Coturnix japonica: one gene and its partner. The protein of the gene in region 1 binds, or shares a complex with, the protein of each later gene. Links are inferred from orthologs where the notes say so. Each region holds a gene or a part of one and is shown in the gene's direction. Other genes may lie near its edges.

What was found.
Region 2: the proteins of SPAG9 (region 1) and ARF6 are in contact, whole or in part, in a crystal structure (PDB 2W83), measured with the Homo sapiens proteins. The link is inferred for Coturnix japonica from reciprocal best matches to the Homo sapiens genes SPAG9 and ARF6. Residues at the interface, in NP_001124000.1 of Homo sapiens: Lys431, Asn432, Ile435, Val438, Asp439, Thr442, Cys443, Asp446, Val447, Gln449; in NP_001654.1 of Homo sapiens: Glu13, Arg15, Lys34, Phe47, Val49, Glu50, Thr51, Thr53, Lys58, Asn60, Trp62, His76, Tyr77, Thr79.

What each region holds. Positions count from the first base shown.
Region 1 is NC_029533.1:8,785,713-8,789,524, forward strand, and holds part of SPAG9 (C-Jun-amino-terminal kinase-interacting protein 4), read left to right. Parts: intron 1-144; coding exon 145-212; intron 213-2,279; coding exon 2,280-2,428; intron 2,429-3,550; coding exon 3,551-3,722; intron 3,723-3,812. UniProt on the Homo sapiens protein: The JNK-interacting protein (JIP) group of scaffold proteins selectively mediates JNK signaling by aggregating specific components of the MAPK cascade to form a functional JNK signaling module.
Region 2 is NC_029520.1:52,349,705-52,354,111, forward strand, and holds the start of ARF6 (ADP-ribosylation factor 6), read left to right. Parts: upstream 1-1,489; 5' UTR 1,490-1,976; coding exon 1,977-2,504; 3' UTR 2,505-4,407. UniProt on the Homo sapiens protein: GTP-binding protein involved in protein trafficking that regulates endocytic recycling and cytoskeleton remodeling. GTP-bound form plays an important role in the transport of multiple palmitoylated proteins form the Golgi to the plasma membrane.

The sequences.
Region 1 (3,812 bases):
CTTGTCTTGAGCTGGAGACCAAAGCAGCAGAGCTAATGCTAGTGTAAGAAGTGTACTGAAATTTAAAATACTTGTGCTTTAAACCTGCATTTTGGGAAATGCGACCTAATGGTGTATGTTCTTGTACCTCCTTTCTTTTACCAGACATGTGAAAGGAATAGTATTAGTTGCACTAGCTGATGGAACACTAGCAATATTTCACCGAGGAGTTGGTAAGCATTCCGTTGGGTCTTGAAAGTGAAGTTATGGCAGTACTTCTGAAGTAAATGTGCCACTTATAAATAGCATTTTGAAGATGTGCTCCTAGTGACCATTTTACAGAATCCTTGATCTCATTTCTTTTTCATTTCCAGGTACTTGAACTTTTTTTAGTACTTAAGTTCAGGGAAACTTTAAATACATCAGTTAGGAATCCCCTCTTCTTGCTCTGAGACACCCAGGTTCTTATATTTGAACTCACAACTACGTATTCTGACAAGTTGTTTAAGGTGCTTAAAGGTATAGGGAATGAGTGAAGTCCTGAATGTGGTATATGAACTGTGTGCACCTCTGCCCCCTTCCCTGTGTTTGCTTGCACTTCTGTGCATCTCCTACCCACTGCAGATTTTCTCTTCATGAACTGCTAAACTAAATAGTGACCATGGTTTATATATATACATATATACACGTATATAAAACTGTGATGCCATGTTTCTAAGCAACAAGAATGGTATATTCCTGAAGGCAGGTTGGAAAAGATCACTACCATTTATGTTATCAAATATCTGAAGGTGGAATAGCATTTCTTGAATATACTTCAGGTTTTCTGTCAAAGTGAGGGAAAGACTTCTTGGTCATCTGTTACTCTTTTTAATGGAAGCATAAGTCTTTTCTGTCTATACATAACATTTACTAGAAGTGCCCTAAGTGCACCTTGCAGGAAAATCAAGCACATTGTGAGCTGCATTAAATTGTCCTGTCCTCTGATGTTATAGTCTCCTTCGGATTATGGGTCTGCAGTGGGATCTTTCCTCTTTTCTTCCCTCTATTATTTTATTGAAGGCTTTTTTAATCTTTCGCAGAGCTGTAATCCTCTGGTTCTTTCAGTTTTTGTTAGGCTTTTTCTTTCAGGTAGTCCTGTCTGTTATGTGGCTTAAAAGAAAGTGACCCTGTCAGCCCTTCTGGCTGCCTGTTTCTAGGTTCTTATATAATGCAGTGTAAGTGTTACTAATGGCCTTTGAGGGAAATGTGGGCTTATTTTGACTCCCACAGAATATTTGCACTGTTCTTGTTCATAGCTGGAATTCTTTCTTATCATAGGAAGCAAAAAAGTAGTGTAGGTATCTGCACTTGCAACAGAAAGCTCATTGATGAAGCCTGCATTGATCACTGTTAGTCCTGCCCAATATTTGACTTCTGCTCCGTTATTAATCTTTAAAGTTGTGTGTGGCCAAATCCTTCCATAGAATTTTGTGAGCATCTCTGTAGAACTTCTGTCCACATCACTCTGGGACAGACTCTGTTCTTCAGCCTCTGGAATAAGGATCTACAGGGGAATGTCTGAAGAGTAATTGGAACTTGTCATCTAGTGGCTTCTCTCTGCAGGCTCCCTGTTCATTTGTTCTTTTCCCTTGTGTAGTTGAAATGACCATTCCTGGTGTTCACTGATATAAATAATGGAAAAGATGCACCTTGAGTGAAGTTGTGATGTTTTCTTCCTTTCAATTCTAATGGCTTACAATCCCTTAAAGTATCTCAAGCAAATATTGGTGTCTGCAGCAGAGCTTCATTTGGCGTTGGGTGACCAATTTTAGTGTGATTTCCATCAGATAACAGGCACCACTCTAAGGTCTAACAACATGTTAAAAATAAATCTTGATGCACTGGCCAACATCTCTATGCTCAGTCAAGCAGCCATTGCTTGGTGCCGTGTGGGTAGCTGCTTCTCATATATACTGATGCCTGACCAAGTAAAGCATTGAACACTAGGTAATTTCTGTTTTTACAAATGTTTTGACATATTTGGAATGTGAATATAGTAAACCTTATATAAAAACAAAGTAGCATTTGGGATGTTGGTAGTTCATACAAGTAAATGCTGTATTTTTAACGTGGAGCCTGCCCATGCATTTGTACTGACTTTCCCAGATCATTACAGTGCTTTTGAAAAATGAAGCTATTCTTAAGGTATTTATTTAGCTGTGCTTTTAAGTTACTTCTAAACTGATAGGAACCTGTGCTTTGTTGTTGTTTTTTTTTGTTGTTGTTGTTTTTTTCTTATTTTGCTTCTGTTTTTAAAGATGGTCAGTGGGATTTGACAAACTATCACCTCTTAGACCTGGGCCGGCCGCATCATTCTATAAGATGCATGACAGTTGTGTATGACAGAGTCTGGTGTGGCTACAAGAACAAAATCCATGTTATTCAACCTAAGGCCATGAAAATAGAGGCAAGTTAAAATGGTGTTTAAAATAATTAAATGTTTTGTCTTAATGCCATCTCATGTTACAGACTGCTGAGTAACTGCAGAGAGTAATGTTTGTTCATCAGCACTTAAATAGGCCAACAAATTTGTTTTGGGAAGTAATTCTTAATTTTGCAAAGATGTAACGATCCCGAAAAAATTTAATGCAGTTTTCATTTGTTGAAACTGATTAATTTGGGGTTTAGTTCCCTACTTTGTCCTGGCCAGAAAACTAGTCAGTGTCCTTTCAGGTCTCTATAGAGCTTGCAGTGCTAGATCCAAGCTCATTCTTTTCATTTACGCATATTTACTTATTCATTATGTTCTCCACCCGCCCACAACCTTCTTCAGAGTCTCTCTGCATACTTTAGAGGTTTGTAAGTGCTAATCTTGAATGTACTCTCCCTCCAGTTATGGAGTATTGTGTTTATGTAAGGTGTGTAAGCTGGTTTCTGCAGTGTTCTGATTATACAAGTGCATGAAGATCCTGTGGTTTATGAAAGCAATTAGCAATATTAATAATTCAGCTTCTTATATTTGGTCTGTGACATGGATCAGACTTCAGGAGGGTGACTGCTCAGCTCCTCTGAGAATATTAAGGGCCCAATTCTGAATCTGTTTGTGAAATGACTATATATGCAAGGAAACCTGTAAGAATTGATACAATAGTGAACTGTTTTGCTGGATAGGTTGTGTTGACAGGAGTGAGTCAGTATGCAAGAGCAAGGCTTTGACAGAACTGGGAAGAAAAACACCTTTGGGGTATATATATGTTCTGCAGTGACTAGAAGACCTCATGCTGAAAAGGCTCTGAGATAGAAAAGATAGAAATCACAACTGACTGGGGAATTTACATAAATGAGGATGCAGCAGGAAACTGTGGCTTTGAGGTCACACTTCAGGGCAGGCAAATCAGCCTTTTTACTGCTTATCAGCATCGTATGGTAATACCGACCAAACTAAGCACTGAGTGTCTGCTAGTGGCCTTACAAATCAGAGGGTAGTAAATGACTTAAGGAAATTACCAATATTGACCATGTAAGGGTAGCACAGAATTCCTTTGTATTCTTGTATTTATCTTCTAATTCAAGATCCAATCTTTTATAGAAGTCATTTGATGCACACCCAAGAAGAGAAAGCCAAGTGAGACAGCTGGCATGGGTGGGTGATGGGGTATGGGTGTCGATTCGTTTGGACTCTACCCTGCGTCTCTATCATGCACACACGTATCAACATCTGCAAGATGTGGACATTGAACCTTATGTAAGCAAAATGTTAGGTAAGTTGATAAGAGAAACTGTAATGTTCTTATACCTCTTGCTGTCACGGGCTTTCTTTTCCTGTTATGAGTCAGGCAATTCTCATTTCA
Region 2 (4,407 bases), on another chromosome or scaffold:
CCTCCTTGGGCAACCTGTTCCAGTGCGTCACCACCCTCTGGGGGAAAAACTTCCTCTTTTTCCCTTCTCACTGTGCCAAAAAATAGTAAGCAAGATAAGCAGCAGCATATTAAAATAGGGCTGTCCTGACAACCCACATTGATTGGGAGGGTAAACGATATTTGAGTGATAAAAAGAAAGGGTATCCCTTCTTTGTATTGACCCATCCATCTCCTTGAAGTTTGCTTATTGGTTATGACACAAAGCTGAAGTTATCATTGTCTTCCACCACATTCTTGTGACAGCACTTGCACCGTGGCTGGAGGACAGAACAAGCAAACACAGGCTGACACACCATGACAGACACAGCATCACACGCTGGTAGCTGTGCAGCTGGTGAGGGAAGCCATAAGGAGCAGGCAGCTCTGCGGCCAGGCCCAGCCAGCAGCAGGCCCTGCAGCCATCTGCAGATCTCCTGAGCCTCTAATCACTTTATAGCTCTAATTACTTTATGCTCTCAAGGCTGGAGTCCCACGCTGGCAGCTCAGCAGGACGTCCTGCAGGGACACAGCGGGTGCTGCCTCCTGCAATGTTTGCCTTCAACATGAACAGGTCGGGCCCTCCCAAGGACCTGGGCAAGCCTTGAATTCTTTAGCAGGTCGGTGAAGGCCAAGCCCTGTGAGCAGGGCAGGACTTGGGGTCACCTAGAACACGCTCAGGTATCGCGAGGGCTTTATGTGGGTGTTTGACCTTGAGGATCAACCAGCAGCACGAGAAGTGGAGCTTTATTGAGGGTGTGTGAGGTGCCAGCACTGCTCCAGGTGGGGCTGTGGGCTGTGGGTGCTCATGGTGAGCTCCCATTACACCCGCAGCGCTCCGTCCCAAAGGCCTTAGCACGGCACGGCCAGCAGCAGCTCCGAGCTGCGGTGCTGCCCATGGACACAGTGCGGGCTGTGTGCAGCCATGTTAGTTCAGAGCAGCCACGTGTGGAGCTGGGCAATGACACAGAGCAGCCGCCCAGCTCCATAGCGACAGCCAGCACCGGGCACGGGGCTGAGGGCCTGACTGGGCCTAACAGCCAGCACAGCTCCCACATCTCAGCTCTCTAACCGCACACCGCCCCCCATATCCGCCCGGTCCCTTCCCGCGCTGTTCGTGTCCCTTTAAGACGCTCCCGGTTCCCTCTGACGTGCGATCACGTGACTCCTCTCCCCACAGCAGCCCGGCCCCGCACGCATGCGCACTGCGCCCCCAGCCGCCCCACCCTCTTTGGGGTCACGCTGCGCGGCCCGCAGTGCGCATGCGCGGCTCCCCCCGTCACCCCGCGGTTCCCCCCCGCTACTTCCGGTCCCGCCGTTCCTCTCCTCGCACGTTTCCGCCCACGCGGGAGGGCGGGGCTCCTTCCGCCCGCTCTGCGCATGCGCGGTGCCGCCCCGAGGCCGCGCGGCGGGAAGCTCTCCGCTCCCCCCGCCCATCGGCGGCGCGTGCGCGTGCAGCGGGGCGGGGCGCGGTGCGCATGCGCGGTGCGGGCGGAGGGGAAGTGATTTGGGCAGCGCGGCGCCTTCCGGCGGTGCGGGCTGAGGGAGCGGCGCGGAGCGGAGCGGAACCGGCTCCGAGCGAGGCCGGCCCCGACGGGACGGAGCCGCGCTCCGGATCTGCCTCGTCCCGGCCCGTCCCGCCGCACGTGAGCCGAGGAGCCGAGGAGCCGGGCGGAGCCGAAGCGGGATCCGGGCTGACCCGCCCTCCGGGACCGGCGGGCGAGCGGGGCGCGGCGTCGGCGCGGCCCTCGGACCCCCCCGCGTTGGCCGGGCCTTCCTTTCCTTTCCCCCGGCCGTTCCTCCGTCCCGCTCCCCCGGCCGCCGCCCCATGCTCGGTTCCCGCTGAGCCGCGGCCCCGGCCCCGCTCGCTCGGGCCGCCCGGGGGCTCTCGCCGCCCGCACCTCCCCCTCCCCCCGTCCCCGCCCCGCTGCAGGCGCCGGGCCCTTGGATGCCGCCGAGATGGGCAAGGTGCTATCCAAGATCTTCGGCAACAAGGAGATGCGGATCCTGATGCTGGGGCTGGACGCGGCCGGCAAAACCACCATCCTGTACAAACTGAAGCTGGGCCAGTCCGTCACCACCATCCCCACCGTGGGCTTCAACGTGGAGACGGTCACTTACAAAAACGTCAAGTTCAACGTGTGGGATGTGGGGGGGCAGGACAAGATCCGGCCCCTCTGGAGGCACTACTACACGGGCACGCAGGGCTTGATCTTCGTGGTGGACTGCGCCGATCGCGACCGCATTGACGAGGCCCGCCAGGAGCTGCACCGCATCATCAACGACAGGGAGATGCGGGACGCCATCATCCTCATCTTCGCCAACAAGCAGGACCTGCCCGATGCCATGAAACCACACGAAATCCAGGAGAAACTGGGCCTGACCCGGATCAGGGATAGGAATTGGTACGTGCAGCCCTCGTGTGCTACTACAGGGGACGGACTCTACGAAGGGCTGACATGGTTAACGTCCAATTATAAATCCTAATGAGAGTAACTATTTAGTCTACAAAGAATTAAAGAGAAAAGAAAAAAAAAAAAAAAAGAAAGAAAAAAAAAAAGAATAAATGACCCGCCCGGCTTTCCGGAAGAATGATTCTCTACAGAAAAGTAAAACAAAAGCATCCATAGGATTACGATCACCTTTCTCCAATGACCACCCTTTCCTTCTCCACACCTGACTGGATTCCTGTTTTAACTCTCCTCGCTTGGCGTTAGGATGCTCTAACCTCCGAATGTGACACGAACACGAGCACTAGATGCTATGGCAGACCTCGGCAAACAGGGGAAAGACACATTGTAGACTTGCTAAGTAACTTTATTTTTCTCTCTCTCTCTCAAAGCCCTTGAGATGGTTTGGTTGTTCTGGGGCCGGCTGGGGGAGGGCTGCCGTTCTCAGTGTATGCTTTTCTGGTTCGACTTTTTTGATGATATTTTTTGTTCCTCTCTCACTTTGCTGTAGATTGCTACTCTTTTGCCTTCATGCGGAATATGTTGATAGGTCGACTTCATCTAGTAAACGGAAAACTCTTGCTTCAAATCAAACCGCAGTCTGTCTTTTTATATTAAGGACTTTTTGTAAAGTTCTGTTAATCTGTAACTGAACAGTGACTCTTGGTCTGGCTCCGTATCTCAGCCTCGTAACGAGACCAATTCCTGCCCGCGGTGGCAGATAGGAATACCATTGTAACACGTTCAAAGTGCATATCAGGCATCGTGTTCACTAGGTAATGTAAGAACTGCTTTGAAATGTCAGCTGTGAAGTTCTGAACCATACATCATGCATGAGAAGGGATGCAAATGAGTTCCCCATCCTACATGGCGACCATATAGCGAATAAAACACGAATGATGTAATCATAGTTCCAGGGTAGATACTGTTCCGTTTCTGTCTTGCATTGCCAGTTTAATGATGTTTAGCTGCAGTTTTTACTCCTTCGGTCAGTCTCCAGTTCGATGTGAGACAGGTTCCTTCCAGCAACACGCAGCAATAACCTGCAAGCGTTGCAACAAGTTTTACTCCAAATTGGCGGGTTGGGGCAGAAGTCGAGCACTGACTTGCCTGCCCCGGGATGAAGGCAACGTTGCTTCATCCTCGGGCCTCTCGATCTTAAAGGATTTCTCACTTTTGGCATCACCTTAAGGCATCTAAATCTCCACGGGGTTTCTCATTTCTGAATGTGTGGCATGGAGAGAACAGACAGAGCCCGGCTGCTCGAGCTGCGGTTGTGCAGCGGGGCTGAGCTGAGGGCTGAGTTCCTGCATGGCCGTGCAGCGTCGGCCCTGAGTTGTTGCTGCAGTGCTGTAGGAAGGGAACCGTGTTGGCTGTCTGAAACCCATTGAGTAACTGCCAATGAGAGCGGGGTGGAGAGAGTGAGAATACGACTATGAATGTAAACTTCCATAATTAGTTCTTAAAGGGCAAGCAGCTCATTCGCCGTGCCACAGCCTGCAGGTGTGGCTGGCAGAAAAACCCCACCCAGAGCCAGTAATGAGTGTGAGGTCTCAATCAAGTGTTAGTGCTGGCCGCAAAACATACTAAAGCAGCTGGTTCTGATTCAGCCTTAAGGATTAACTTCAGATTTCCTCAAGGAGTTAAACTCGATTGGGGAATTCTAGGAATGTATGCTACAAAACCAGAAGAAAATGGCTTTTTTTTTTTTCCTCAAGGATATAAGTTTGATGTGAAATTGGGGCATTACGCTACGGTTGTGCAGCGTTGACTCTGTGTGCAAAGTCCATTGTGTATGGAGCTCTTACCAAAGATGAATGGGAAGATTAACACACACATACAAAATAACGCTGAATTCACTTCTGGAATTGAATGTTTTGGACCATGTCGAAGTAACTTTGGACCATGTCAAAGTAACTTTGGACCATGTCAAAGTAACT